Canis lupus familiaris: one gene and its partners. The protein of the gene in region 3 interacts with the protein of the main gene of each other region in a biochemical or structural test. Links are inferred from orthologs where the notes say so. Each region holds a gene or a part of one and is shown on either strand. Other genes may lie near its edges. The genes, in order: CDC34, UBE2G1, UBA1, UBE2H, UBE2W, UBE2Q2 and UBE2L6.

Region 1 (4,091 bases), on a different chromosome or scaffold from region 3:
TGCAGGGAGTCGTGGCCCTGTCCTCCCGCGTCCGCGCCCCAGGGCTGGCCGGGCCTGAGGGAGCCCCACAGGGGCAGGGGTCCATCTGCTGAGCAGCCCCTCACACAGGGCCCGGTCCACTCTCACCTGACGTTCTGGGTGGGGTTCCACCGCTCTGAGGGCAGCTCCCCACTCTGGGGGTCATCGACTGGGGGGTGGAGAATGGAGATGCACACGTCCCCCGTCTGTGGGTACAGGACGGAGGGATCAGGGCCCACACCGCTCACCACTCGGCAGGCAGCGCAGCGTGTCCCCCGACAGGGAGGCTGCAGGGCACGCGGCGGACTCACCTCGTAGATGTTGGGGTGCCACATCTTGGTCAGGAACCGGAAAGCCGGCGGGGAGTAGGGATAGTCGATGGGGAACTTGAGGCGTGCCTGGGAGGGCAGAGCGCAGGAGCTCAGCCAGTGCCGCCCACGGCCCCCAGCCCAGGGCCGCAGACCAGGGTGTGAGCTGGGACAGACGCGCCCGCCCGGAGGCCGCCTGGACCCTGCCTGCCGCACGCACCGCCCGCAGGCCCCAGGACTACTCAGGGTCCCCCGAGCCGATCCGGGCCCCACCCCGCGGCTGGGAGCAGGTCTCAGGCCGTGCTCAGTCCAGGCCTGTGGGAGGGACGCGCAGCCAGGCCCCAGGGAGCGCGGCGGGCTCGGGCCGGCACATGGCTCCGGCTGGCAGGGCCCTGGGAGCTGTGCACCCCCGCACGGTGGTGGACTCCTCGGCCTCAGTTTCCAGGTTGTGGGGAAGATTAAAATAGACGTGTGTTCACTCAGCAATCACTCCCGACACCTCTGTGGGCCGGGCCCTGTGGGAGGAGATGAGTCAGCGCTGGACAGACGGGCTCTCTGCCCACAAGTGTCCATCACGGGGGGGCCAGGAAGGCAGACAGGAAGGTCACGGGGCAGACTGGGGAGGGCCACCTGCCCAGGTGACACACTGCTCAGGCCTCAGCAGGTAAAGAAGCCGTGTTGGCTTGTTTGAGCCCCAGGCCCAGACGTGGGGAGGCCTGGCCCCGGATCCTGGCGGAGCTCCAGGCCGGCAGGGGCGAGCCAGCGAGCTGGGAGACAAAGCTGGGCACGTGTGCGGCAACTCCCCCAGGCCCGAATTTGGAAAGTCTCCTTCCTGGGCAGGGGGCACTCGGGGCATTTGGGGGAAGTCCCTCTGCTCTGGGGTGACCATGCTGAGGCCCAGGAGGCAGGCAGCTGGCTGGCGACTGCAGAGCACTCCTGGAACTCAGAACCTGCCCTAAGAGTTTCCAGTGATGGCCCTCGGGGGCGGGGCGGGGGGGCTCCCTGGCACCAAGCACCCACCGAATCGAGCATCCCCCGGGGAGACCGCACCACTGAGCAAGCTCAGGCTCAGAGAAGGAAAGTCCCCTACTGAGGACGCCCGGCGATAAGCCGGGAGGAGGCCTCTGAACTGCCTGTCTCTGGCACCCCGTCTGGTCACGGAGGCTCGGGAGGCCGGGCTGGCCGCAGGGCGCTGGGGGAAGTGGCTGGAAGTGACGGTGGTACTTCCCTGCGCTTCCCCAGCTCCGCTCCCGCCCGTCGCACCTGCACGAGGACCACACTGGGTGTGGGGCCCAGGCCGGCCTCCTGCAGACAGGGCCTGTGGCATCTGGAAATCTGGCCGTGGCCCAGCTCCAGTCCCTTCTTCTCAAGTGGGATGACCCCTCCCCCCCAAAGCCATCCTGGAGGATCTACCCACAATCCCTTGCAACCAGTTAACCGGCAAAAATCAGAAGCCCAAAGCCTGTGCCCTTTCCCTCCAGCTCTGCAGCCTCACCCAGGGGCTCGGCCTGCCTGAGCGTCCCGGCTGCGAGAGCCGTCGCCCTTGCAGCCCGAAGCAGACACAGGAGGCTGGCGAGGGCCCTAGATGCGCTACTAGGTGGCCAACCCCAAATCCGTGCCCTGCGTGCCAGCGGGGGCCGGGCTCCCCGGCCATGCAGAAGCTAGCCCAGGGCTGTCCACGCTCACGCCCCCTCGTCCCACTGCAGCACCACGGTGGGGTGCTCGCAACTCGGGAGTCGCCCCAGCTGACCAGGCTGCTCCCTCACGCCCGCGGCCGAGCAGGCTCAGCTAAAACATCAGCTGAAAGTGCAAACACAGACATGTGCCCCGGGAGCAGCGGCCGCCCCTCCCCCACCGCCTGGCTTCTGCTCCCCACCCTGCCCGGGGCAGAGCCTGGCAGGGCCTGGCAGGGCCTGGCGGGGCCTGGCGGGGCCTGGCGGGGCGCGCAGGCTCCCGAGCAGGGAGGGTCCTGGGCCGGCCTGGGCCGAGGGCTCGCTCCCCACCGCTCGGCAGCGAGACCCCTTGGCCCGCGCCTCTGGCTCGCGTGCACGGCCCGGCCCTGCAACCTGAGAAGCGTCCTCCGGCCCGACCGGGCTCCGGCGGCGAGGTCAGGAGGGCCGCCCGGGGCCTGGCTCCAGTCCTTTGTCACACCAGGGAAACGCGGCCAAGGCCGGGCGCGGCGGCCCTCCCGGCTCCAGGCAGCGCGGCGGGACGGCTCGGGGACCCCGCGGCCGGCGGGGGGCGCAGCGGGGCGAGCGGGGGCGCCGCGGCTCACCTTGAAGTAGCCGCCCTCGTAGTAGGTGTTGGGCGGCCCGAAGATGGCCACCTCCCAGTTGTACAGGTCGCCCTCGTCCACCAGGGTCACCCGGAAGCCCTCCACCGGCTCCTCCTGCAGCCCCTTGAGCTCCAGCAGCAGCGCCTTCTGCGAGCTGGGCACCAGCGGCCGGGCCATGGCGGCGGCGGCGGGGCCCGGGGTCGGGGGCGCGCGGGGCCGCGGGGCCGCCGCGGGGGCGCGGGACGGGCCGGGCCGCGCGCCGGCCGGGGGGACGCCGGGGCCGCCGCCGCCGCCTTCCTCCTCCTCCTCCTCGCCGCCGCCGCCGCCGCCCGGGACCCCGGGACGCTCCACTCGCTCTGGCGCCGCCGCCCGCCCGGCGCTCGCCTCCGCCTGGCCCGCGCGCCCCGCCCCGCGCTGCGCGTGCGCGCCGCCTCCGGCCCCCCGACCGCGCCTGCGCGCCGCGGCGGGGCCCGCACTGAGCCTGCGCGCCCGCCCGCGGGGCACGCCGGGAAGTGGAGTCCCCGCCCCCGGCCCGCCGAGCGCGCAGGCGCGACCGCCGGGAGGGACCGGGGGGGGGGGGGAGGCCAAGCGCGCAGGCGCCTGGGCGCTTCCGACCCCCGGGAGGCCGCCGCCGCCGCCCGCCGCTCGGACGAGCACCCCGGACGTCTGTGCGCGGGGAGGCGGGCAGGGCTGGGCTGCGCCGGCCCGGCACGCGCCGCGGGGCTTTTGGGGTCTTTTCTATGACGTCCCAGCGCGGGGCGGGGCCGGGGCGGGGTCGCCTGGCCCGGGCGGGGCGGAGCAGGTGGCTTCGCGGAAGGGGAGGAGCGGAGGGCGGGGCCTCAGTTTCCCTTCGGGGGAGCGGAGCGCGGGGCCGAGCTGGGGGCGGGGTTAGTCCCCACCGCGCCGGGCGCACACCTGGACGCACACCTGGACGCACACCTGGACGCACACCTGGCCCCGGCCTCCATCCTCCACGCCCTCAGGGACCCAGAGGGTGGGCGTGGCGCTGTGCCCGCAGCCTCGCTGGCAGGTGTCCGGCAGGCCCCAGACCAGCACCTGTGCTGCGAGCCCCTCCTCCAGGTGCCCCAACACCTGCCCCCCCGCCCCCCGCTGCCGTCGCCCAGGTGAGGACACACAGGGAGCCTTGTCTGGCGCGAGGGAAGCAGCATTTCATCTAGAGGAGAGGGACAGGGGACCGGAGGAAGAGCCCCGGGCCCGGCAGCGGCTTCCGGCGGCTGCCCCAAGGCGGGGACCCTGACGTTCCCATCCGCAGAGTGGGCAGCCGCTGCCCCGCACCCCGGGCCACCTGGCTCCGTGCCCCTGGCCAGGGGTTCCCTGGCCCTCGTTCTGTGCCCGCGGCGCCCACGTCAGCAGCGGCATGGGGCAGCTTGCCAGTAAATAGTAATTAGAAGTAATCACGATTCTTGCAAATCCAGATCCCAGGATCTCCCGACGGAAGCCCCGCTCCCCCACGAAGCATGGGTGGGGGG
Region 2 (4,074 bases), on a different chromosome or scaffold from region 3:
CTTGATATTTTTAGATTTCACTTAAAACACTCCCTTTGGGCAGCCCGGGTGGCTCAGCGGTTTAGCGCCGCCTTCAGCCCAGGGTCGGATCCTGGGGACCCAGGATCGAGTCCCACGCTGGGCTCCCTGAGTGGAGCCTGGAGCCTGCTTCTCCCTCTGCCTGTGTCTCTGCCTCTCTCCCTCTCTGTGTGTCTGTCATGAATAAATAAAATCTTAAAAAAAAAAAAAAAAAACTCCATCTCCTGTTTTGTTCATGTTATTTAAAATCGTCCAAATCTTTAAGAAATTAAGAACAGTCCACTGCTTCTGATCAAAAATGCAAGAAAAAAATGGGGATCCCTGGGTGGCTCAGCGGTTAGGCATCTGCCTTTGGCCCAGGGCTGATCCTGGAGTCCCGGGATCGAGCCCCGCATCAGGCTCCCCACATGGAGCCTGCTCCTCCCTCTGCCTGTCTCTGCCTCTCTCTGTTTCTCATGAATAAATAAAATCTTAAAAAAAAAAAAAAAAATTTTTTTTAATGCAAGAAAACTTAATCAGCAATTAACTAACTTTATAATGAAGCTTGAAAAATGACACAGCAATACAGTCTCTCCTCCAACTTCAAAGTGAGTATCAATGGCCTTAGCTAACAGTCAAGCAGTGGGGCACCGGCAAGCTCAGCAGGTGGAGGGTGCAGAGCTCACCATTCCGGGTTGTGGGTTTGAGTCCCACACTGGGTGCAAACAGCACTTACACATAAAATCCTTTAAAAGAGTAAGCCAGGGAGGATCCCAGGGTGGCTCACCGGTTTAGCGCCTGCGGATGGCGCAGGGCGCGATCCTGGAGACCCGGGATCGAATCCCACATCAGGCTCCCGGTGCATGGAGCCTGCTTCTCCCTCTGCCTGTGTCTCTGCCTCTCTCTCTCTCTCTCTCTCTCTCTCTGACTATCATTAATTAATTAATTGATTGATTAAAAGACTAAGCCAAAAATGAAGACCTCTGGAAAATGTTTTATCAACATTGGGATTAATCTTGACAAAAAAGGGAAAACTGAACCAAGAGGCCATCAAAACCTAGAGCGGAGTAGGAAAGTACTTCTCAAGAACTGCTACCACTGTTTTTAGTCATACTTTACTTTCTTAGTAACTGCCTAACTTCCTTCACACCTTTAAAAATGTGTATCTTTCCTGCCATGTTAAGAGCTGAAGACTGTTTTACTACTGACTTCTTATTCTAACGCTGTTCAATAGTTCAGCACACAATAAAAACTTATTAGAGAATTCTTCACGAGACAAAAGGACATCCTAACTCCTTCCTCCAAAACAAAATAAACCAAAAAAAAAAAAAAAGACAAAAAACAAGATGCAATAAGGTCATTGTTTCATCGCTTTTCCGATACATTCTCCGTGATGGATTATCAACTATCGCCAGAACTTCTCCATCCACTTCAAGTCACTGCCCTGAGCATCCAGAAGTTGAATGTGTCCAAACCTGCTTGCTCATGGTCTAATAATAACGCTAATTATACAACCTCCAGCAGTCCCTGACAACCTTTTTCTCAAGAAGCCATCGAGGTGATTGAAGCAGCAGCTCGAGGAGTGTGGACGAGCTGGAGTTCTGCAGGCCCGGGCTCCGAGCGCCGAGCGCAGGACCCGGGGCCCAGGGCCCGGGGCGGCGAGGACCCCGCGGGGAGCAGCAGCGGCGACGGCGGCAGGCGCGCCGGGCCGGGGGTGCACATTTCTCTTTAAATCTGGCAGCACGTGGGGCGGCATTGTGAAGCCACCGGCCCCCCCGCCCTCGGCGCACGTCCGCCCCCAGTGCGCATGCCCCGCTCGCACCGTCCTAGCGGAGCAGGAGCCAACCCCCTAAAAAGTCAACCTGGAAGCCGCAAACGGCCGGAGGCCGGGACAATGGGGGAGGGGGCCGCCGGCGGCCCCGGGGGACCGCCCCCGGCCGCCGCCCCGGCCCGGCCCCGCGGCTCGGGGGCTCAGCGAGCCCGTGCGGGGGCCCTCGGGGCACAAAGCCCGGGGCGGCCGCGAGCGGCTCCCGGCCCGCTCCCACCCTCCGCGGCGGGCGAGGCGAGGCGGGCGGGCCAGGCGGGGCCCGTGCCAGGCGGAGGCGGCCCGGCGGCGGCCGGCGGCGGCCCGCACTGCCCGCTCCGCCAACCCCGCGCGCCGCGGCCGCCCAGGCCGGCGCTTTGTTGTCCGCCCCAACTCCGCGGCGCCGCGCGGCCGGCCAGAAGTTTTGCGCGCCTCCCCTCCGCGGCCGGGGGCCGCCTCCCCCAGCCCGCCCGCCCGCCCGCCCGCGCCCCGCCCGCCGGCCCGGCCCGGCCCCCCGCAGCCAGCCAGCCCGGACGCCCCCCGGCCCCCGGCCCCCGGCCCCCGGCCCCCGGCCCCGCGGCCGCCCCTCCCCCCGCGGCCGCACCTGAGCCCCGGGGCCCGCCCCTCCGGGGCCCCGCAGCCCCTCCCCCGCAACGTCCCACCGCGCGGTGGGGGAGGGGAGCGGAGGGGAGGGCGCGGGCGCCGGCCCGGTCCCCGCGGCGGGCCGCGTCCCCGCCCCCGACGGCCTCCCGACGCCGGCCGAGTGCGGGCCCGGCCGGACGGACTCCCCGACCTCGCCCCGGCCGCCCGCCCGGAGGAGGAGGGCCCGGGCCGGCCGGCGCTCACCTGCCAGCTGTCTCCGCAGTAGCAGCGCCGACTGCAGCTCCGTCATCCTCCCGCCGAGGGCCCGGGCCGGCGCCGGGGCTTCCGAGGGGCCGGGAGCAGGCTGTGGGGGCGCCCGGAGCCGGGAGTGCTGAGGAACGCGGGCCTCCGCGACGGGAGAGCCGGGGCCGGGGCCGGGGCCGGGGCCGGGGCCGGGGCCGGGGCAGGCCGGGCTGGCGGCGGGAGCGGCGCCTCGCTACCGGCGCGGGTCAGCGCGGGGGGCTCCACACGGCGCCTCACGCCCGGAACGGGAGGGCGCCCGGGCGGCCGCGGCGCGTACTGGGACTCCGCTTGCCCGCTCCCCTCCTTCGAGCCGCCCGTCGGCCCCGCCGGTGCCTTCCCCCCGCCACTGCCTTTCCCCCCGCCACTGCCTCACTGCGCGCAGGGCCGCTCCGCGCAGGCGCGCTGGGGCTGCCCACCTCGCCTCGGCCCGCCCGCCGGCCCCGCCCCCGCCGGCGGAATCCCGCCCCCTGCGCGCCGCGGCGCCCGCCGCCGCCATTTTGGGAAGGTCGCGCGAGGCGCAGGGGACGCCGGGGCGGGTATGGGGAGAGGAGCCGCTGGCCGACGCCGCATGGACACCATGACGAGGAGGTCGCCGCTTGCCCGGACTTAGCCCCGGGGCTGGAGCAGGTGGTCCCGGAGTGCGGGGCCAGCTTGCGGGCGACTGCGAACGAGCCGTGGCTGGAGCCGAACTTCGTGCTGGTGTGTCCCGTTTTACGTAAACCCCCGAAGCTGACGTCAGGTGCTCTAACTCCCTTTACAGGAAGAAGGGTGAAGATTCCTGGCGCACCTCTTACTGCGGACTGACCTTAGAGCATCACCTGGGACCCCGCGGACGGCGCTCGGGCCCTCAGTCCTCCAGCACTTGCCCGGTGCGCCTGCACAGCTGTGAGGGCCGCGGAGGCCGCGGAGGGAACCTGGGCCTTCCCGTCCCTCGAGCACCTGCACGGCCCCGGGGGCTGCGCGACCCCGTGGAGCGCGCTCCGGCCCCTCGGTCCCTCCAGCACCTGCCCGGTGCACCTGCACGCCTCTGTAGCGGGGGCCGCGGGGAAGGACCGCCCTGCCCTTGCCCGCAGGAGGCTGGCTGCGTCCTGGCTCAGACCGCTCTCCAGATCAGGAATGTCTCCGAGAATCGCCCTGGGCGCCCCCAGAGCAGGTACACGTGGAGAGGGGCGCCCTGCTCCCTCGGGGTCACAAGCTCCGCAGGCAAGGCCTCAGGTGTGCTCAGTGCGGGGTCACTAAGGAGGAGAGCGAGACAGGAAGGCCCCAAACGTGTTTCTTTATAACGAGAAAAGAAGTCATACTTAACGGTCCGCTCTCCTCAGGGCCTCCCTGCCGCAGCCTAGCTTGTCCCCGCGCTGGAGCTTTCTGGCTGCTCCATAAAAACCAGT
Region 3 (4,248 bases):
AATTATGTACGAGGCTGGATGGACAGAAACACTCAAGACAGCCCTAGCTACTGGAGATTATAGTACTCCAGCCAAGGCAACACAGCCACGCCTTCCTATTCATGAATAATGAAAACCGATACTGCAGAGCCACAGGGGAAACCCAGGGGAAGTGTAGATGCCTTCTCCCCACCCCTGACTAACTGCACAGGAACCAGGGCTGTCTTGGTCCAACGGAATCCAGACTCACTAATATGACTTTGGCAGGTGCTTCAGTTTCCAAAACTGTAAAATGGGGCTGGAAATAGAACCCATTTACCTCATAAAGGCAAAATGTGCTATTATGAAAATCAGAGAATATGGATTAGGGAGTGAGCTGGCAATGCTGACACAGGGCGCTGTTTAATTAAAGTATTATATAATAACATAAAAGAACTATGTAAATATATATTTATATTAATATAAAACTGGTTACGGGTGAGAGTATACTCAGCCACCAGAGAAACCCCCAACTGGGAGCATTATTTAAAAAACAATGTCTTAACCAGACAATGAAATATCATTCAGCATTAAAAAGAAAAAGAGGGATGCCTGGGTGGCTCAGTGGTTTAGTGCCTGCCTTTGGCCCAGGGTGTAATCCTGGAGTCCCGGGATCGAGTCCCACATCAGGTTCCCTGTGTGGAGCCTGTTTCTCCCTCTGCCTCTCTCATGAATAAATAAATAAAGTCTTTAAAAAAAGAAAAGAAAAAGAAAACAATGCCTTGAGTCAACCAACCACAGAAGGACAATGGAAAACAGAATGCTAAAGCCTCCAATGTCTACTGAATAGGTAAGATGGATAGAGGACCAGGTCACGAGAGATACAACTATATACCAAAGCCTCAGGTACACAATAAACACCCAATACACTTCTCTCAAATAATAATAGATCATATTTAACAGATCACGTATTATGGTGATGTGTTCTTCCCATGCATTGTGCCACTGTTCTCAGGAATGCAGAGCAGGAAATTGGTTCCTTCCTGGCCTTCAGGTCTTAGCTCAAAGGCGACCTCCTTAGAGAGTTCTTGAACCCTCACAAAAATCATTTCCACCCACCTACAACTGGCTGTGTGACCAGGGGCTAGACATTTTGCTTTTCTGGGCCACCGTTTCTCCAGTCATAAAATGAGAACAATAGTAACCTACCTTGTGTGATGGGAGTTTAAGTGAGTAAATAGGCAGAAAAGGCTTTGAACAGTGCCATGCACAAGTGCTATATGACTAACATCAGTAGTAGTATATGCAATTAAAGTGGTGGTGGAGGGTACATTACGGTATTTGATTAAGACTACAGACTCTGGAACTAGATTGACTGATGGGGTTTGAATCCTGGCCTAGCCACTCACTGACTAAGTAAGTTTAGGCAAATTACTTAGCCTCCCAGTGTCCCAGTTTCCTCATCTATAAAATGGGGTAATAATAACCTATCTCCTAGGATTGTTGTGGGGATTAAATGGGCTAATAAAGTGTGAAATGAGTGTAAACTCATCTGATCATTATTGTGCCCATACACATTTTCAGGCTCACAGAAAGATCTGCCAAAGATCACAGGGCTTGGCAAGGATCGATGGGATTTGAATCTAGAGCCTTTGTGGATAATCTGGAATTACTGGGCCATAAGGAATGAACAATGTAGGAGGCCTCGTCCCTTTGGTTGACTTAAGGCTTAAATCTTGGAACCTGTAAGGGAAAGCTAACAGCGGGTCATGCAGGTGAAACTGCAAAAGCTACGCCCCTCATGAATTATGCACAATGCCCCTACAAAAGCCACAGAAAACTCGGGGCGCTACTCACCTTTACGATTAATCAATGAGTTCTAGTTTGCCCGGGAGACTGCAGAATGCCCGTTCAGCACATCCCTCCAGCACGCTGATCCGCCCCCTCGTGAATAATTCACAAGCCGATACTTCCAGCGGACCAGGTGTGAAAGCGGCAAAAATGGGCTTCCTTAGCAATCCCACCTCCTCATGAATAATGAAAAAAGCCGCGACCAACGGAGGCCCGGTAGCACGCCGTCCCCTCGGGAAGAGCCCAGCACACTGGGTTCCAGCGTCCCTTCAACAGCCTGGGCTGGGGGGGTCCCTCTCCCTAAAAACGTGTGGGCCCCGACGTGTCCGGTCGCCTCGCCGCGAGTACCTAAGCGCGGGGGGACCTCATCATAAAACTAGAGGTCACAAAGGCCACAGATACATCCACAATGCCACGTCGGTCCCGAACGTTTCCTCTGTCATAGGACCTTGCTTGAAACAAGCTCTCCCCAAATTCCGCCTGGACTTCGGGAACCTCAAACTTCGCTTCTCCCTTTGGAGAGCACCTCCATATCCTGCCTCATGGACAGAGAACTCATACACGGACCTTAAGGGTCTCCTCAAACATCCCCCTAACGCCTGCCTCCGAGGGGTATATAAATCCTGCCTCCCTCCCAGTGATACTCCTTAAAACAGACTCAAAATACTATCCTGGGGTCCCCAAATGCCACTTCCTAAGGGACCACTCGAACACAACCACCCCTAAACGCCACCCCGGGCCCAGAGCCTCCAAATGTGCCCATCAGGGGATCCCCCAAATTGAGTCCCCTCCCCCAAATGCTGTCTAGGGTTTGGGGGCACCGTGCTCCAGCTCACCCCCTGCGCCGGGCGGAAGCCTCGCCTTCCTGCTGGAGATGAGCCGAAGCCACGGGGCAACGGAAGAGCAAACCACCTCCGTCGTACAAGAGCCAGAGTTTGCGCGGAGCTCGGAAGCGCGGGGCCTTGAAGGGCCCCCAGTTTGGGACGTACCACAGATGCTTAGCTAGAGGGGCGCCCGCCTCTGCTCCCGTGCTGTCGGCGCCCGTGTCAGACCCAGACACCCCTACGGGCTGTGGTACGTCCCTATCGCGCGAGGCATGCTGGGGGTGGTAGTCCTGTCTGGCCCGTGCCTGGTGCACGTGGTGGGCTACAGCGCCCAGAGTATGGGAGAATGTAAACCCTGACTGTGGAATTCCCGGAGCTGCGCTCTGGGGGATTGAAAAAGGATGTGGAACATGGGGTACCTCCAGATGTAAAGGCACACCCATCCTACGGATGGGAAGACTGAGGCTCAGGTAGCCAAGGAGTTCATTCACTTGACATTTATGGAGTTCAAGCTGTGGGCTAGGTGCTAGGGATTCTTTCCCTGCCCTCACGGAGCTGATGTTCTTGCGAGAGAGACCAGAAATATGGCAAATAAGTAAAACTTAACAGTTTTGCATATAAATACTTATTATAATAGATATATGTGACTGTATAGTATGAATTATATGTAATAAAATATGCATATAAATACTACTTATTGACATAACATGATAGTGTCAATATGTAAATAATTTACCTCTGTATGTGATAAATGTCTTATATACATTGTGTGTATTCTATATTCATATGCGAATATATAATTAAGTACACATGTAAATACGTGTTGTATATATGTATGTGACAACTGCCAAGTGCTATGGAGAGAAATAGAACAAGATCAGGGGAAATCTGGGGGTTGTCTGTATTTTTAGTGTGGTCAAAGAAAGCCTTGCTGAGGTGGTGATGTTTGAGCAAAGGTGTTTAACAGAAAATATCTTTATCACCCTATCCCAAATTCTGCATCTCATATCCTGTCAATAACCACCAAATTTATTCATTTGAAAAAGATTTCTTGCATGCCTACTAAGTGCAGAACACTGGGAATGTAGCAAAAAACATGAAGGAGGGGATCCCTGGGTGGCTCAGCGGTTTTGCGCCTGCCTTAGGCCCAGGGCGTGATCCTGGAGTCCTGGGATCGAGTCCCACATCAGGCTCCCTGCATGGAGCCTGCTTCTCCCTCTGCCTGTGGCTCTCTGCCTGTGGCACTCTCATGCGCGTGCTCTCTCTCTGGTGTCTCTCATGAATAAATAAATAAAAATCTTAAAAAAAAAACATATGAAGGAGATTGCCCTTGCAACAGTCGAGAACACTCTTCAATCAGATCTTTTCCTTCCTATTTATCTTCTGCCACCCCTCAGAGAGACCTCCCCTGAAACTCCATGTAAAGTGGTCAGGGACCGCCTCTCTGAGGAAGTGGCATGTGAAAAGTGAGGAACCAGGCCATGTGTCACATGGGGGAAAACATTCCAGACCAAGGGATCATCAGGTGCAAAGCCCGAGGCTGTAGTTTTCTTGTCTGAGTAAGAGTGCAGAAGTCTGTGTAGTCAGAGAAGAGTGAGGAGCAAGGAAGGGAAAA
Region 4 (4,203 bases), on a different chromosome or scaffold from region 3:
GTCTGTTGTCCTCCTATCTCAGAGATCTATGATTTTAAAGCGCCTCTGCTTTCTTTTGTCAGAAAGGAGGAAGGTGGGGAAAGAACAGAAGGCCAATGCATCTTTGCCTTTCTTCATCTTCTACTAAAAATAAGCTATGAAATAAGCCACTTAGGGGAAGAAAAAAGAGAAAGACACCCTGCTGTTCTTTGTCTGTTTTCCTCTCCCTCTCAACCCCCCACACTCCGACTCCTAAATGCGGTAATCATTCTAGATGCCACAACTACTAAATGAACAAAAGGCACTGTATGGAAAAGGCATCAGGTCAAGTTAGGCCTCACCCTTTATCCTCAATCTTCTAAAAATATAGATGTATATAATTTGAGACTCTGACATTGATCAGAAACAGCTGGAATTCTCTCTCCACCTCCATCCCAATTAAACATTAGGTAGAAATTTGCATTAGGTGTGACAGTAACTCTCAATTCAGGATAAAAATAACTCAGATTCTGCCACCATGTCATTTCCTAGTTTCTAAACAAAAATAAAACCCAAAACTGCTTTGTGTAAAATGCACACACAGCCACAGTTACAAGTTTTCCTGCAACCATATGAAAAGCCAGCGTTACTGGGATCATTCACACATTTACAAAACTCAATCACAGTCACAAACAGCTCATAAAGAGTCAATTTCACTTGTGCCTAGACACATATTTGGAACACATATTATTTGCTCCTCTCTGTAATCTCCTCTCCCATCTCCCCAAAATTGTAAACTTCAAACCCTAAAACTTAGAAGTCTATCTAATGTTCCTAATTTCTAGCTAAGTTTTCCTGAGTGAAGAGAAAAACACCTTATTCCTGAAAAGATGAAAAAAAAATTTTTTTCTTGCCCAGGCAACTTCCCTCCCATCCCCCACTTCCAATCCAAATACAAAAACTACTTTTTTAAAACTTCAGAGAATTCCATAACTGAGTTGACAATAATCATCAATCTCTGAAAAGAGGGAAAACGTCCAATCAAAGACAGTAAGAAAAGTAAGAAAGAAGGAATTCACCTGAAGAATCTAGCCAAACAACTTGAGTTATATAAACAAAACCCTGCAACGGGGGAAATGGTGGGGGGATGGGGGTGAGGGAGAAAGAGAAGCAGGAGACAGGACTTTTTAACTGCGTTTCACACACCACCACTCCCCATCCCCGGTTCCCCTTCTCCCCAGGGATTAGTTGTTCAGAACACTGGGCTCATTTCCTCTCTCTCTCTCCCCTCACCCCCCCCCCCAACCCTCTAAATTACCCCTCAAAAATTGTCTCGATTTGTCACAGGAACCCTCGCGAATTTCTCTAGCTGGTCATGAAATAATCAGTCTGGACTCCAACCAAAACCACTGCCTGAAGGGCCCTTATCAGTTACAGCTTTCCCACTGCTACCTCCAGAGTACATAAAGTTGGGGGGAGGGAGGAAAATAAAGGGTGTCACTTGGTAAAATCAGGGCAGTTATTCCACAAGAACCTTACCCTCATAGAGGGAGTTTGCTCGAGTGGCTAATACAGGGGCTATTTTGTCAAGGAGATCCTCTTTCTCACCCTCCCCCAGCTGTCATAACCACAATATGGAGGGTGGCTTGCTGGAGGGCCTGGGGGTCCTCATCACATCCAACTATGGGTGGGACAGGCTTTGTCAGTGAAAAGAAAAACGGTGAGGTTCTTCGAGGGACCAGAAAGCTTAACCGGGGTCCCTGATTTAAAACACTCAGCTCTTTATTACAACAGGGGGCACTGAGCAGACTACTCTTCCTAATATAGAAAGGAATTAGGGATAAAGGAGGTCACTTGAGTTACCCCAGTTCAAGAAGCATAGGAGGGAACAGAGGCATCTCAAGAAAGGAAGAAAGGCTTCACTCTCGGGGATTTCTATCACGAGTCCCTAAATCCAGAGCGAGCAAACAGGAGAGACCCCGAGGTGGGCACGGTGGTCAAGAGAGGTGGATGGTCCTGCAAAAAAAAAAAAAAAAAAAAAAAAAAGGCCGTCTCGGGAACCCAAATGTCGTGGAGGAAAGTCACGGGCAAGGGGGGTGCAGAAGAGCGAGGAACAACGCACATTTCGGGGTGCTGCAGATAAAGGGGGAGCTGAAAAGGCTCCTGGCTCCTGGCTCCTGGGAGGTGCCAAGGAGCCGCCGTAGGCACGGGGGTGGGGGGGAGGGAGGAGAGGAAGGGAGCCTCGGACAGTGGCCTGGAGTGCCCCAAGGCCCCTGCCTGGGTTTCAGGGGGTGCCCGGGGCATCCCCACACCGCCCCCCCTTGACAGCCCGAATCCCCCCTCCACGAAGGATACAGCTTGACCACGTCCGTGTCCATCCGCCTCTTGCCCGGACTGGGGGATGACATGGTGTCGCCGCTGCCTCCCCGTCGCCTGCGCCGCCGCCGCCTCTCTCCTTTCCTCGGCCCGTCTATCACGGGCCCCGGGCCCCGGCTCCTCGGTGGAGGTGGCAACACCCCCGCGGTCCTGTCGGGTCCCGTCAGCCGCCGCCGCCGCCGCCGCCGCCCCCCGCACGGGGGAACACCGGGCACTGTCCGGCCGGGTGGGGGTGGGGACCCCGCGGCGCCCGGCTCGGGCTGCCCCTCTCCGGCTGTGGGTTCCTCCGCGGCCCGGCCCCGGCGCTACTCTGCGCCGCGCGTCGCTCCCTGCTGCCTGCTCTAGCTCGCTCGCCTGCTCGCCTGCTCGCCCGCTCACCCTCTCGCCGGCTCCCTAGCAGCCTCCACGACAAGCGGACGACTCCTGCTCAGTCGGCCTCTCTACCCCAGCCTCGCTCTGGGCGCCGTGACGTCACCTCTGTGACGTCATCGGCGGGGCGGGCCCGGCTGGCGAAAGGGGTGGGGCGCCGCCGCCGCGGCGTGGACTCTCCCGGGTGGTTCTGGGAGATGTAGTTCTTCTTTCTCTTGCCCTCCCAGCCCAGTGCCCCCTCCCCCAACTCCCCCCACCCCCACATTTAATCGCTCAACTGCCAGTGTCGTTATCATCATCATAAATGATAATAGTAAAGAATGGCAATATTATTACATTTGTGTGTTTTAGGGTAGTGAACCTCCTTCTCATATACACTGTTAGAAAGGCTGTTTATTTGATTTGAGGTGGCAATTACTAGGATAGGCACCAAAATCTGGAAATTCCCACACTAGCAGGTCCCCTGCACCCTGCTCCCTCCTTGGATGGAAGGAATCTGTTTGCAGCGATTGTAGACTACAGCGAGGCTTCCTCAGAACTTGCAAACCAGGGTTCATTACCCTCCTTGTAGAGAGGGCCACAATTTCAAGGATTAACCTTGAGGCAGCTAGTTGGCAAGACCGGAAATAATTTGGTACTAGCATCCTTACCCCACAGAGTATGAGGTAATTTCACAAAGTGAATGACTGGTAGACGCAGAAACACCCCAAGTATGCTGTAGTTCGAAGGACAAAGATTGTTCTGCCTTCCACACTCCTGTACCAACCCTGTATATTCCATCATTCGTTCATAAATAGTTATTGAGCACCTACTGTGTGTGAATCACTCCACTGGGCATGAGGATATCATGGTGAACTAAGAAAGACTTTAAATTTACACAGCCTTCCCAATATGGTCTGCAGATCTAGAGCATCAGCCTCACCTGGGAACTTGTTAGAAATGCAGGCTAGAGCTTCACCTCAGACCTACTGCATTAGAATTTGCAGTTTAACAAGGTCCCCAGGTGGTTCCTATGTGCAGTGAAGTTTGAGAGTCACTGCTCTACAAAGCACTCCATAAGAAGTGGTATGGGACCCACCAGTCAACAAGGCAAAAGGGGCAGAAAAGAGTGATCTAGGCATCTCCTGAGGTTTATATCACATTTTTTGCTGCCATTGACTCTATTTTCAAAATTTTTATCTATTCTCTTGTTCCTATGAGTATACTTGTACTTTGTCAGACCACGTGCTGTGAGATGGGTCCCCTTCTACAACCTCCCATAGACACAAACATACACGCACACACACACCTAGGGCAGCAGCAATCAACTAATGTTGAGCATTCTTCATTCCTATCATCCCATTCTTCCAAAGGACTAGTAATTTGTGTATGTGATTAATATACATAACATAAATTTTGCCACTTCAGCCATTTTAAGGTGCACAATTCAGTGTATTAAATACATTCACCAATGTTCTACAACCATCACTACTCTCCATTTCCAGAACTTCATCATCCCAA
Region 5 (4,089 bases), on a different chromosome or scaffold from region 3:
TTATATTACATTTCTATAATTTGTATGTCTTTAAAATAGTTCTTATAGCTTCAGTAATCTCCTCAGCCGCGATAACATCCTGACGACCTGGCGTAAGATAAAGAAATCTGAAAACTTTTTAGGTAAGGACATGGTTAGAGCAGCATATGTATACTTTTTCCTAAGCACTCTGACTGAAATCCCCAAAACATCCATTTCCTAACCTCCTTCCATGCTTTCCCTTCATAGCATTATCACCTTCTAATATAATATGCAATTAACTTAAGTATTTGGTTATCTGTCTCCCCCAACTAGACTATTGTATCCAGAGCAGAAATCCTTGTCTACTTTTGTTCACTGCTCTATCTCTAGCACTCTGATTAGTAGCACAGTAGGGCCCTTAAAAAATAATTGAGTAAATAAACAAATCCAGTTGTTTTGAAAAGAGTGAAATTTTGCTATTAAGGGGCATCTAGCTGGCTTAGTTGGTAGAGCAGAGTCTTGATCTTGGGGTTGTGAGTTTGAGCCCCAGGTTGGATGCAGAGATTACTTAAAAAAAAAAATAAAATAAAATCTTTAACACAACATTTTGCTATAAAGATGGTCAGGAAAAATTTTATTCACCAAAGACGGAATAACCACACAGAAACCAGTACTGAATTTCGAAAAGCTTGATTTATCTATATTAAAATTATTTTTCAAGGTACTGTCAGAAAACCTGTATCTGAAATATCTGTATCAGATATTTCGAAAATACAAACAAGCAGTGGGAAAATACCTAAAACACAGAAAATTCCACTTATTGCAGTGGCAAATATTTTTTTTTCCATTGCTCAAGTCACCATGTAAAATTCAAGATTATCAACATTAAGTCCTGCACTGACCCAATTCTGTATTCACTTTTTTCTCTTAAACCGGGAAATTTGTTTTTTCAGACCCTCAAAGTTTACATCTAACCAGCTAACTAGTTATCCCTATAATTGTCTTGTTAAATATAATCACAGGTGCTGTGGGTTTAACCATAATTTTTAGTCTTGAAACAAATTATTTTAATCTTAATACAAACTATCTTAAATTAGTCATATAGCCCATCTACTGTTCAACTAGTGTTCCACAGTTCCTTTTTTGGCCTCAAATGACGAAACCTCTCTAACGTCTCTGGGGAGACCAGTGTAAAGTATAATGTTTCCTCAAATTGTTCTTGTTTTTTCCCTGCACCGTTTTGTGACATCCCTTCAAGTAGGAAAGTTAGACATTTTTCTATTCTTCAGGAAAGTCCAGAAGCAGCAGCAACGGTAAATAGAATATCGCATGGAAAACTGGTTGAAAGGGGATAACACAAAAGCACAAAAGTAAATGTGAAGCAAGTATGTACGCAAAAGAGGAAGATGCAGAAAAGAGAAGAAAAAAGTGTTCTCGCCTAGAAATGAAAAACAAACCAAAAACAGAGGGTGGGGGAAGATAAGAAGATTTGCTTATTCTTCTAGAAACAAAAGCACTGAATCCTAAGAAAAACGTGGGTCTCTTTAAGATGTTAAAACTCTAAAAAGCACTCAGCTGCCACTCCAAACAACAGTTCTATCTTCTCTCCCTAGGTGTTCTCATCAGAGCTAGTCTTCATTTGTAAAATTAAATGCAGGCTATAGATAAAGCAGAGTCAATCTTTACAAAACTGCAGTGGTGGTTGCCATCTTTGCCTGGGGGGAAAAAAGAAAAAACAAAACAAAACAAAAAACCACAAAAAAACAAAAAAACAAAACTCCTTGGATCTGGAAAAAAAGGAGCATATTAAGTTGGAAAGCCAGAAACCCATGAACTGCTAAGTCAGGCAGCTATGACACAGGTTAATAAATGCCTCCTACCAAACTAAGATTCCACTAAAGATCTAGGGAAGAAGGGCAAAGGGCTGGAGCTTTACCGCGACCACAAGGGTGGGGCACCGCAGGGAAAGAAAAAAAAAAAAAAATCTGAGGGCGAGCCATCCCGGAGGTATAAGGGGGCTAGTGACTCAGATCTCGGGGAGACTGCCTCTTAGGAGGCAAATGATGTTGAAGGGCCAAGGGCAGCCTCGGGAGAGCGAGTGCGCTGCCGCACTAAGGTTCGCAGAGGGTGCGAAAGCTAACAGAGGAAGGTACCCACGGGGCAAAGGAGTGAGAGTCAAAGAGAGCAGGGCCGAGCGGTCGGAGCAGCTGGGCGTGGGAGGCCTGAGCAGAGGCCGCGAGGCGCTTCTGCAGCTGGCCGCCGTCCCCGGAACGCCTTTTCAGCTCCCCCCCGCCCCCGGCCCCTCTCCGGGCCGCCCTTGCCCCAGCGACGACGGCCAGAGCAGCTGTTTCCGCCCGGCCGGGGACCGCGGGGAAGGCATCCCCGGGGCGGGCGGGCAGGCCAGCGTCAGTGTGAGCGAGAGGCGACCCGAGACCACTGCCGCCACGCCAACGCCAAACTTCACCCCTTCCTCCTCTCAGCCTTCTTTATCCCCCAACTTCCCGGCCGGCTGGTGTCCGCTTCGACCGCCCGAGGACCCCCCCCTCCCCCGCCCTTCTTCTCGCCGCCTCGCACCCCTCCCCAACGTCCTGAAGCCGGGAAAGGACTGGCCACCAGGGCCGCTCCCGAACCCGCCCGGGTGCCCCAGAGTCCCGGACGCCGCCCCCGACAAAACGCTTGCGTCCTCTCGGCGGCTCCCTCGCCCGCCCAGATGCTGCAAACTCCTCTCACCTGCATTGACGCCATGATGGAACCATCCCCCCAAGGCCGGCGAGGCCAGAGACGCAGGGGGCGGAGCCGCCGTGCTCGCGTCACGCCGCGGGGGCCCAGCATCCTGGGCGCCGGGGGCGGGGCCTCCGGTGGGAAGGCGACGGCGGGAGGGGATTGGCTGGCGCCCCGGCGGGGGGAGGGGCGGCGGGAGCGCGGTCAATGGCGCTGTTGGTACCCTCGGGCCCAGCGCGCTCTCCGGCGGCCGCGCTCCCTCGCCGCCGCGCCGGGCCTCACCTGGCGACGGCCGTAGGTTTTTTTTTTTTTTTTTTCTCTGTTTACCCTAACATCTTGATGATGCCCAGCCCCGTTGGTTTTTCTTTTTGCTTTGTTTTTCCAACCGCTGGTGGTGTGGTTGGAAGATGCTCTTGGACGTCTTCTCCACCGCGCCAGGCCCATATTCACACCTTGGGGCGCGGTTCCCCTGCCCGCGGGGCTGCCTTTTACTCTTTACGGTCTGGAAGGCTTCTCGTGTTCCCAGTGTCGGGGGAGAAAGACGCATGTCGTTGTACAATGGGATGAGGACGGAGAGCAAAACAGTACGTTGGCATTCTAAGGGCCAGGGTGGATTTGTAGAGCTGAAACTTGCCCGAAAGGGAAGAGACATTTTTAAAGTTTTTCTTTGGTTCGTGTGCTGTTGTTTCCCCCTTTACACCAGCCCCTCGGTTTTAAACTAAACGGGTATCCGTAATAGTTAGGTTGTTACGGCATTCACATCTGTGTAGGGATTTGACCCTAGACGCGATTGTTTTGTTTTGTTGTTTTGATGGATCTGTGCACTTTGTAGTATACACTTGACACCTTTTGTCACATCTGGACTTGGCTTCAGCCTGTTTCGTGGTGGGCAGTTCTGTGGTCATTTGACCTAGGGATGTATTTGAGTAGGGAGAGGTGAGCATCCAGAATTTTTTCTGGAATGCACCAGTTCTGCCAACATTTATCAGAAGCCACCTTTTAAAAAGCTATGCCAGGGACCCCCGGGTGGCTCAGCGGTTGAGCACCTGCCTTCAGCCCAGGGTGTGATCCTGGAGACCTGGGATCAAGTCCCACGTCGGGCTCCCTGCATGGAGCCTGCTTCTCCCTCTGCCTGTCTCTGCCTCTCTCTCTCTCTCTCTCTCTCTCTCTCTCTCTGTCTCTCATGAGTAAATAAATAAAATCTTAAAAAAAAAAAAAGCTATTCGACAACTTCAGTTGTCATTGGTTAAGAATAAAATGGAAGGGGATCCCTGGGTGGCTCAGCGGTTTGGCGCCTGCCTTTGGCCCAGGGCACGATCCTGGAGACCGGGGATGGAGTCCCGCGTGGGGCTTCCTGCGTGGAGCCTGCTTCTTCCTCTGCCTATGTCTCTGCCTCTCTCTCTCTCT
Region 6 (4,156 bases), on a different chromosome or scaffold from region 3:
GAGAAGACTATTCAGAAACTGGCAAGCAGGAGTGCAAGGAAACGGGTGAGGCGCAGTTTTCTCAAATGTTAAAGACACTGTGTAAGTATGCTTCCTGGTGAGCAAGGGAAAAGACAGGGCCTAGCACGTGGAGGAGCTCAATAAATATCTGGGAATAAGAGCAAAAAACAAAAAACAGATAAAATTCAGTATTTTTTTTTTTAAGAGCTATAACATTTTAGAGAATAGCAATTCACAAACACAATAGACAGGAAATCCAACCTCATTTTTTTCTTTGCTCTTTCCCCTCTAAGCAAGCGGTATGGGCACCAGCAAGCCATGTAGATTTTATCAAACACCTACCTATGCTTAAAGAGTGTCGTCTATTTTTTAGAGATACTCACTGAAATATTTACAGATGGAGTGACAGACCAGGAACCTGCTTCAAACTAATCTGAGGTGGGGTACAGGTGACATTGGTGATTGGCCAAAAATTGACCATTGATGAGGCTGAAGACATGGAGGTCCTCCACACTATTCAACTTGTGCATGTTTGAGGTTTTTCCATAAAAAGTTAATACACGTTCCTGTACACTGAGCACTCAGCATGGTAACTATTTTCTAGTGAGACCTCTCACAATCCTGAGTAGCTCCTCATACTGGTCCATCCCACACCCTCCTTCCACCCGGTGTTTCTAATCCACCCCCGTGCTGTGCTCTGCTCTGTGCAGCTGATTCCTATCAGCCTCCTCTGCTTCTCACTGGAGACGATGCCGGCGTCGTGCTGTGGGCACAGCCTGGACACTAAAGGACATCTGTCACCCCTGGAGCCCTGGCACTAGGCGCCAGCACAGCAGCGGTGTGACCCTATGGCCACCGAGGTGACCACAGCCATCCACACACACTTCCTGAGACCACACCCCGGAGAGAACTCCTTCTGGCCAGGGCAAGCACAGTTTTCCCGACTTACCTCAGGAATTTAGGAGCTGCCAGAAGCCTACAGGGTGCATCTGAGCACGTAAGGCAGCCCTACCACGTCCTGGGCAGCTTCCCTGCAATGGTCAGCACTCAGGCCAGTCTCCTTCATGCTCACTACTACTTCCTGCTTCCCATGTGTGGGAAATGTTGTCCTTTACCAGCCTATAGCCTCATACTTTGTCTACTTCTAGGCAAGCCCCATTTTCTCAAGCTTTGGTGTCTTTTCTGGATAGTTCCCTCTGCCTGAACCGAGCTTCCACGCCCAAGATTCTACTCACCTGTGAAGGCCCCACTCCACTGCCACCCCCCCACACACACACACACCAAACTCTAGTTAAGTGCTGTCTCGGGCTTTCCTAACGACCCCGTAGAGCTTGACAACCCTCGGTCATACGAACCTCTTCCCCAAAGACGATTTTGTTCTGAAAACTGCTCTACCCAGTTTTGCAAACCGGCCCTAGAACAGCACACCTAGACGCTGCACGCCTGCTCTCCCCAGCACAGCACTTGTCTCTGTCTCTCAAAAATACACAGCTGCTCCCGCAGAGCGTCTGAAAATGATTTCACCGTCAGTTATCATGACTTCCAGCCCTTTCCAACTCCCCAGTGCCACCGGCTTCACCAGACTTGGCTCCAGGGAGCGCCCGGCGGCCACCTGGACTCCTGCTGTCAGAAGCTACTCCGCGGCTGGGAACAGCACCCCAAGTCAACGGGTCACCGTTCCCTCAAACACACCCAGGAAAGGGTTATGAAACGCCAATCCCGCTGTTCCTAACGAGCCTCCAATTTAACCCAAAGAGGGAGCTTTAAACTGCCGCTTGGGCTTTGTGGCCTAAAATCCTCTTTCCGGGCAGAAGGCTTGGACAAACATCCCCTTCTGCCTGCAGATCATCCCGAGGCTTACGCCCAGGGGGGCCCGGCGGCCAGAGCCCGCGGCAGCACCTGCGAGCCCGGTACGAGGCGCCCTTGGGGCTCGGCCGCCCGCGCGGAGCCAGGCCTGCAGGAAGGGGTCGTTCAAGCAGCACCGGACGCTGCGTTCTCCACTCTCCCTGGAAGGCGGCAGTTCCCCGCGTCAGCTCTTCCTTAAACGTAGCTGGGGGAATAAGGGAGCCCAGGGACAGCTGACTGCAGAGTAGGGGGCCCCCCATCGGGTGCCGGGGCTCCCCCTGCCGCAGGGACAGCGGGTGTGGCGGCCGCGGGGACACGGGCGGGCCCAGGGGGCAGAGCGGGCCGAGCGCCCGCAGCCCCACGGCCGCCCCGCGGGACAGGTGGGGGTAAGCCCCCTCCTCCCCCTCCCTCCCCCTCCGTCCCCTCCCCCTCCTTCCCCTCCTTCCCCTCCTCCCCCTCCTCCACCCGCGCCTCGCTCCAGGGCCCGGCCTGCGCCCCGCGGGGGCCGGGGAGGGGCCGGGGCCTTGAGGGGCGACTGCCCCTGCCTCCCGCCCCCTCCCCTAACCATTCTCCCCCGCCCCGTCCCCTAACCCCCTTCTCCCCTCCCCTCCCCCCTCCCCCCCAGCCCCGGCCGAGCCCCGGCCGAGCCCCGCGCCTCACCGTGATATTGCAGTGCAGCGAGAGCGGCGGCGGCGGGCGCGGGCTGCCGGGCGGGGCCGGGGGCGGCGGCAGGAACTGGCAGTGCAGCTCGTCCAGCTTCCAGCTGACGACGCGGAGCCGCTCGTGGTCCTTGTGGAAGACGGACGCCAGGAGCTCCAGCTCGGCCTTGAGCCCCGCCACCGACATCCTGCCCTCATCTCCGGCGGGCCCGGAGCCGCCGTCACGGCCGCCGCAGCCCCGCAGGGCCCCCCGGCCGCCGGCCCGCGCGACGCGGCGAGAAACGGCGGGGGCGGCGGGGCCTCGGGCGGCTCCCGGCAACCGACTCGGCGGCCCGTGAGCGCGGCCCCGCGGCTTCAAAGGGCAACGGCGCCACCGCCCCCGCCCCGCGCCCCGCCCCGCGCCCCGCCCCGCGCCCCGCCCCCCCGCGCCCGCCCCCCGCGCGGCCCCGCCCCCTCCCCGCGGCTCCGGCTCTAGCGCCGGCACGCCCCGCCCCCGCCCCCGTGCGGCCCCGCCCCCCTCCGACCCCGCCCCGCGGCTCCGGCGTCTGCACGCCCCGCCCCCTCTCCGACCCCGCCCCCCTAGGCCCCGCCCCTCTCCGACCCCGCCCCGCGGCTCCGGCGTCTGCACGTCCCGCCCCCTCTCCGGCCCCGCCCCCTAGGCCCCGCCCCTCTCCGACCCCGCCCCGCGGCTCCGGCGTCTGCACGTCCCGCCCCCTCTCCGGCCCCGCCCCCTAGGCCCCGCCCCTCTCCGACCCCGCCCCGCGGCTCCGGCGTCTGCACGTCCCGCCCCCTCTCCGGCCCCGCCCCCTAGGCCCCGCCCCTCTCCGACCCCGCCCCGCGGCTCCGGCGTCTGCACGTCCCGCCCCCTCTCCGGCCCCGCCCCTAGGCCCCGCCCCTCTCCGACTCCGCCCCCTAGGCCCCGCCCCCCTAGGCCCCGCCCTGACCCCGCGCGCTTCTGCCCCGCCCGTCGGCCGCGCTCCGCGGGCCCTGGGTCTCGGGGTGTGGGGCGGGCGGGCCCCGGGGCGCGTCACCTGCAGGATCCGCAGACCCCTGCGCGCCTCTGCCCCGAGCCCGGCGGGCCACCTGGGCGGGGTGGGGACGGGGCGCAGGGGGCGCAGGGCCGCACAGCTGCTCGCACCCGGACCCGCCCCGCTAGCCCGGGCCCCTGCCAGCGTCTTTCCTTTCCTTTCCTGCCCTGAGCGTTGGTCCCCTTCCCACGCTTAAGGAAACCCTCTGAGCTCCCAGGAGGCAGGACTGGCCTATTTTCAGTGAAGTCTTAGCTCAAATGTGTCAGAGGGCCGCCCAGTCACCCAACACCGCGTCATCCTAGGTTAACGTTTTTACTCAGCACCAATCACTGATATTTTGCTTATTTGTCCATCGTCTCTGCCCAACACGAATGTCTTCTTCAGAGTTGCATCCAGGACTTGGAACAAGGCCCTTCGCGGACACGCAGCGTCCCTGCCTGGATGCTCCTGGGAGGCCTGCCCAGCACGTGCTGCAAGCCCCGGCGCCTTCCGTGCGGGTGCAGGATGCCTGGAGGATGCCTGGCGGTCCCTCCAACGGACCGAGCCTAACGGGGGAGGGGGGGGGGCAGGGGCCTAGAAGGAGGACTCACTCCCTGGCTGTGCGACCTCTGCAGGTGCACAGGG
Region 7 (2,746 bases), on a different chromosome or scaffold from region 3:
TACACGTCGATTAAGCCCTTGGAGGACCATGCTGGGAGCTTCGCACGCTGGCTTTGCCCAAATCCCCAGCAGCCCCATGTGCGGTGTCCCTGTCGCCCCGTTGTTTAACTAGGTGAGGACCCTGGGGCATGTGACAGGTCAAGCGCTCGCCCGCTGTTATACAGCTGGCAAGTGGCCGAGCTGGGCTTCAAAGCCAGGCTTGGCTGACTCTAGGACAGCGCTCCCCAGGAAGACGTTCTGTAGAGAAAGAAATGTTCCATAGCCGCACAGTGCGGTTCCCCAGTCAGTAGCCACGTGTGGCTCTTGAGCACCTGACATGTGGCTAATGTGACTGAGGAACTGAGTTCCTAATTGCAGTTAATTTTAATTCATTTCAAGTTATGTATCTGCACATGGCTAGTGGCTACCATAGTGGACAGTGTGTTTCTAGACTCCATGAGTGTGATCTGTGTGCAGAGTCTGTCTTGCTTCTGGACCAGCTCAGTTCTTCTTTTTTAAAATTAATTAATTAATTAATTAATTAATTAATTTTAAAGATTTTATTTATTTATTCATGAGAGACACAGAGAGAGAGAGAGGCAGAGACAGGCAGAGAGAGAAGCAGGCTCCATGCAGGGAACGCGATGTGGGATTTGATCCCAGGACTCTAGGATCACACCCTGGGCCGAAGGCAGGCGCTTAACCACTGAGCCACCCAGGCGTCCCTCATTTTTTTTTTTCCTCATTTATTTTTTTAAGAGACAGATAAAGAGAGAGCGTGCACGCTTGAGTGGGGGTGCAACTGAGGGGATGGGAGAGGGAGAGAAACTCAAGCAGACTCCCCACTATGCAAGGAGCCTGATGCTGGGCTTGATCTCATGCCCCTGAGATCAGGACCTGAGCTGAAATCAAGAGTCAAATGCTTAACTGAGCCACCCAGGCTCCACGACCAGCTCAGAATTCTTAGCCTTAGGAACAAGGATCCCTGGGGGGAAAAGGGGAGGGGAGATGTGTCCAGGGGGACTGTAGAGCGCTCTTTGCTTAGAACCCCATGTTTGTGTATGTTCGCATGTGCACATGCCTCAAGTGATGGGCCACTCCCTTCACCAGGTTCCCAGAGGAAAGATTGGGAGGCCACTGGGCAGTCGTGGTTTCCAGTCTTTAGAATCAGAACCCTTTTTCCCAAATAAAAGTTGATTTATTTAGAATCCTATCAAACAGAAAAACAGAGTGGTTCTTGTTGAAAAGGGGGTGAGACTCAGAAACCCCATTTATCTCATCAACCCCCATGATGGGAAGCTTCTCTGAAGCCACAGAACGTGGTTTGAAAGCACTGGTGCAGCCGGTCAGGGCTCTGGGCCCCATCAGTGAGGAATGAGGGCCATTTGACTTGGTCATAGAGTTATCATGGTCATTCCATCCAAGGAGATGGAACCTCCTTGGGAGTCCTCCACAGAGTGAGTATGGGATGCCGGGGGACCTAGGGGTGGGCTGCCATCGCCTCCTTCCCACGGTCTTTCTCTCATCCTAATGTCCTGATCTGGCCTCTCTCCCCAGTCTTGGAGGCTCTCAGCGTGCTGGTGAATAGACCAGACCTGGGGCAGCCAGTTCGGGTGGAGCTCGCCGACCTGCTGACGCGGGACCCAGAGCTGTTCAACAGAAAGGCCCAAGAGTTCACCCTCCAGTATGGAGTGGACCGGCCCTCCTAACTGGTTCTGACCCCTCTCTGTTGCTGGGTCCTCTGTGTGATGGACGACATGTTTGACAGACTGGGTGCTAGAGCCCCTCTCGTTTGTTTCATGTTTTCCTTCATGGGTTGTTAATCATTAGTCTGTGTGTGTGTGTGGTGTGTGGTCCCATTCCCAGGTTCACCTGGCCACAGGTGAGCCTTTCCTGCTCTCTTTTTTACCCCAGAGCCAGAGGAGTTCACGTTTGTGCAGTGACAGGCCAGCTCTCCAGCACTCTGTGGCCTGAAAATCTGGTCTCACTAATTGCTCTGTCTTACAGACACAGGTCACCTTTGGGCCAGGTGGCAGGAAACAAGCCCAGAAGGCAACTAGAATCTCCATGGGGCCCTGGCATCCCAGGGGGCAGAGGGGACATGGGGAGTGTGCATGGGAGAAGGATTTGTCTTTACAGTTGAGCAATTTGTTGAGTGATTGAAGTCAGACCGCTAATAGGTGTACTGTATGTTTAGGTTCAGTATTAAATGTTTCCTTTTCTACTGATAAATCACAAAATAAAGAATCTCGATCCTGGAAATCTGATTACATGGTTCTGTTTTTTTGTTTTTGTTTTTAAGATTTATTTACTTATTTGAGAGAGAAAGCATGAGTAGGGAGAGAGGCAGAGGGAGAGGGAGAGCATCTCAAGCAGACCCCCTGATTAGCGCAGAGCCCGAGGCGGGGCTGGATCTCACGACCCTGAGATCATGACCTGAGCCAAAACCAAGCTTTGGATGCTCAACCAGTTGAGCCACCCAGGCGCTCCTGATAACGTGGTTTTAAACTTTTTTTTTTTTTTCTAAAGACTATTTATTTGAGAGAGAGAGAGAGCACATGTGGGCAGGGGGCTGGGCAGAGAGAGAGGGAGACTCTCAAACAGACTCCAGGCCGTATGTGGAGTCTGAGGCGGGGCTCATTCCCACGACCCCGAGATCATTGTGAGCTGAAACCAAGAGTCGGATGCTTAACCGGCTGAGCCACCCAGACGCTCCCGACTACATGGCTTTGAGACCACTTGCAATCCCATTCGGTTGCCAGTTCCT

What was found.
Region 1: of the proteins of UBA1 (region 3) and CDC34, one has a biochemical effect on the other in vitro, tested with the Homo sapiens proteins (7 studies listed by BioGRID, with this or other methods). The link is inferred for Canis lupus familiaris from reciprocal best matches to the Homo sapiens genes UBA1 and CDC34.
Region 2: of the proteins of UBA1 (region 3) and UBE2G1, one has a biochemical effect on the other in vitro, tested with the Homo sapiens proteins (3 studies listed by BioGRID, with this or other methods). The link is inferred for Canis lupus familiaris from reciprocal best matches to the Homo sapiens genes UBA1 and UBE2G1.
Region 4: of the proteins of UBA1 (region 3) and UBE2H, one has a biochemical effect on the other in vitro, tested with the Homo sapiens proteins (3 studies listed by BioGRID, with this or other methods). The link is inferred for Canis lupus familiaris from reciprocal best matches to the Homo sapiens genes UBA1 and UBE2H.
Region 5: of the proteins of UBA1 (region 3) and UBE2W, one has a biochemical effect on the other in vitro, tested with the Homo sapiens proteins (5 studies listed by BioGRID, with this or other methods). The link is inferred for Canis lupus familiaris from reciprocal best matches to the Homo sapiens genes UBA1 and UBE2W.
Region 6: of the proteins of UBA1 (region 3) and UBE2Q2, one has a biochemical effect on the other in vitro, tested with the Homo sapiens proteins (3 studies listed by BioGRID). The link is inferred for Canis lupus familiaris from reciprocal best matches to the Homo sapiens genes UBA1 and UBE2Q2.
Region 7: of the proteins of UBA1 (region 3) and UBE2L6, one has a biochemical effect on the other in vitro, tested with the Homo sapiens proteins (2 studies listed by BioGRID). The link is inferred for Canis lupus familiaris from reciprocal best matches to the Homo sapiens genes UBA1 and UBE2L6.

The regions. Positions count from the first base shown.
Region 1 is NC_049241.1:58,444,854-58,448,944, forward strand, and holds the start of CDC34 (ubiquitin-conjugating enzyme E2 R1), read right to left. Parts: upstream 2,801-4,091; 5' UTR 2,779-2,800; coding exon 2,602-2,778; intron 417-2,601; coding exon 330-416; intron 225-329; coding exon 127-224; intron 1-126. UniProt on the Homo sapiens protein: E2 ubiquitin-conjugating enzyme that accepts ubiquitin from an E1 ubiquitin-activating protein, and catalyzes its covalent attachment to other proteins by an E3 ubiquitin-protein ligase complex. In vitro catalyzes 'Lys-48'-linked polyubiquitination.
Region 2 is NC_049226.1:30,628,810-30,632,883, forward strand, and holds the start of UBE2G1 (ubiquitin-conjugating enzyme E2 G1), read right to left. Parts: upstream 2,801-4,074; 5' UTR 2,694-2,800; coding exon 2,648-2,693; intron 1-2,647. UniProt on the Homo sapiens protein: Accepts ubiquitin from the E1 complex and catalyzes its covalent attachment to other proteins. In vitro catalyzes 'Lys-48'-, as well as 'Lys-63'-linked polyubiquitination. May be involved in degradation of muscle-specific proteins.
Region 3 is NC_049260.1:40,985,432-40,989,679, reverse strand, and holds the start of UBA1 (ubiquitin-like modifier-activating enzyme 1), read right to left. Parts: upstream 2,801-4,248; 5' UTR 2,646-2,800; intron 2,146-2,645; exon of another isoform or gene 1,816-2,145; intron 1-1,815. UniProt on the Homo sapiens protein: Catalyzes the first step in ubiquitin conjugation to mark cellular proteins for degradation through the ubiquitin-proteasome system.
Region 4 is NC_049235.1:6,765,152-6,769,354, reverse strand, and holds the start of UBE2H (ubiquitin-conjugating enzyme E2 H), read right to left. Parts: upstream 2,801-4,203; 5' UTR 2,367-2,800; coding exon 2,314-2,366; intron 1,961-2,313; exon of another isoform or gene 1,857-1,960; coding exon of another isoform or gene 1,822-1,856; intron 1-1,821. UniProt on the Homo sapiens protein: Accepts ubiquitin from the E1 complex and catalyzes its covalent attachment to other proteins. E2 ubiquitin conjugating enzyme that transfers ubiquitin to MAEA, a core component of the CTLH E3 ubiquitin-protein ligase complex.
Region 5 is NC_049250.1:22,894,820-22,898,908, forward strand, and holds the start of UBE2W (ubiquitin-conjugating enzyme E2 W), read right to left. Parts: upstream 2,801-4,089; 5' UTR 2,794-2,800; coding exon 2,692-2,793; intron 1-2,691. UniProt on the Homo sapiens protein: Accepts ubiquitin from the E1 complex and catalyzes its covalent attachment to other proteins.
Region 6 is NC_049251.1:40,621,687-40,625,842, forward strand, and holds the start of UBE2Q2 (ubiquitin-conjugating enzyme E2 Q2), read right to left. Parts: upstream 2,801-4,156; 5' UTR 2,692-2,800; coding exon 2,506-2,691; intron 1-2,505.
Region 7 is NC_049239.1:39,085,514-39,088,259, forward strand, and holds the end of UBE2L6 (ubiquitin/ISG15-conjugating enzyme E2 L6), read left to right. Parts: intron 1-1,536; coding exon 1,537-1,688; 3' UTR 1,689-2,246; downstream 2,247-2,746. UniProt on the Homo sapiens protein: Catalyzes the covalent attachment of ubiquitin or ISG15 to other proteins. Functions in the E6/E6-AP-induced ubiquitination of p53/TP53. Promotes ubiquitination and subsequent proteasomal degradation of FLT3.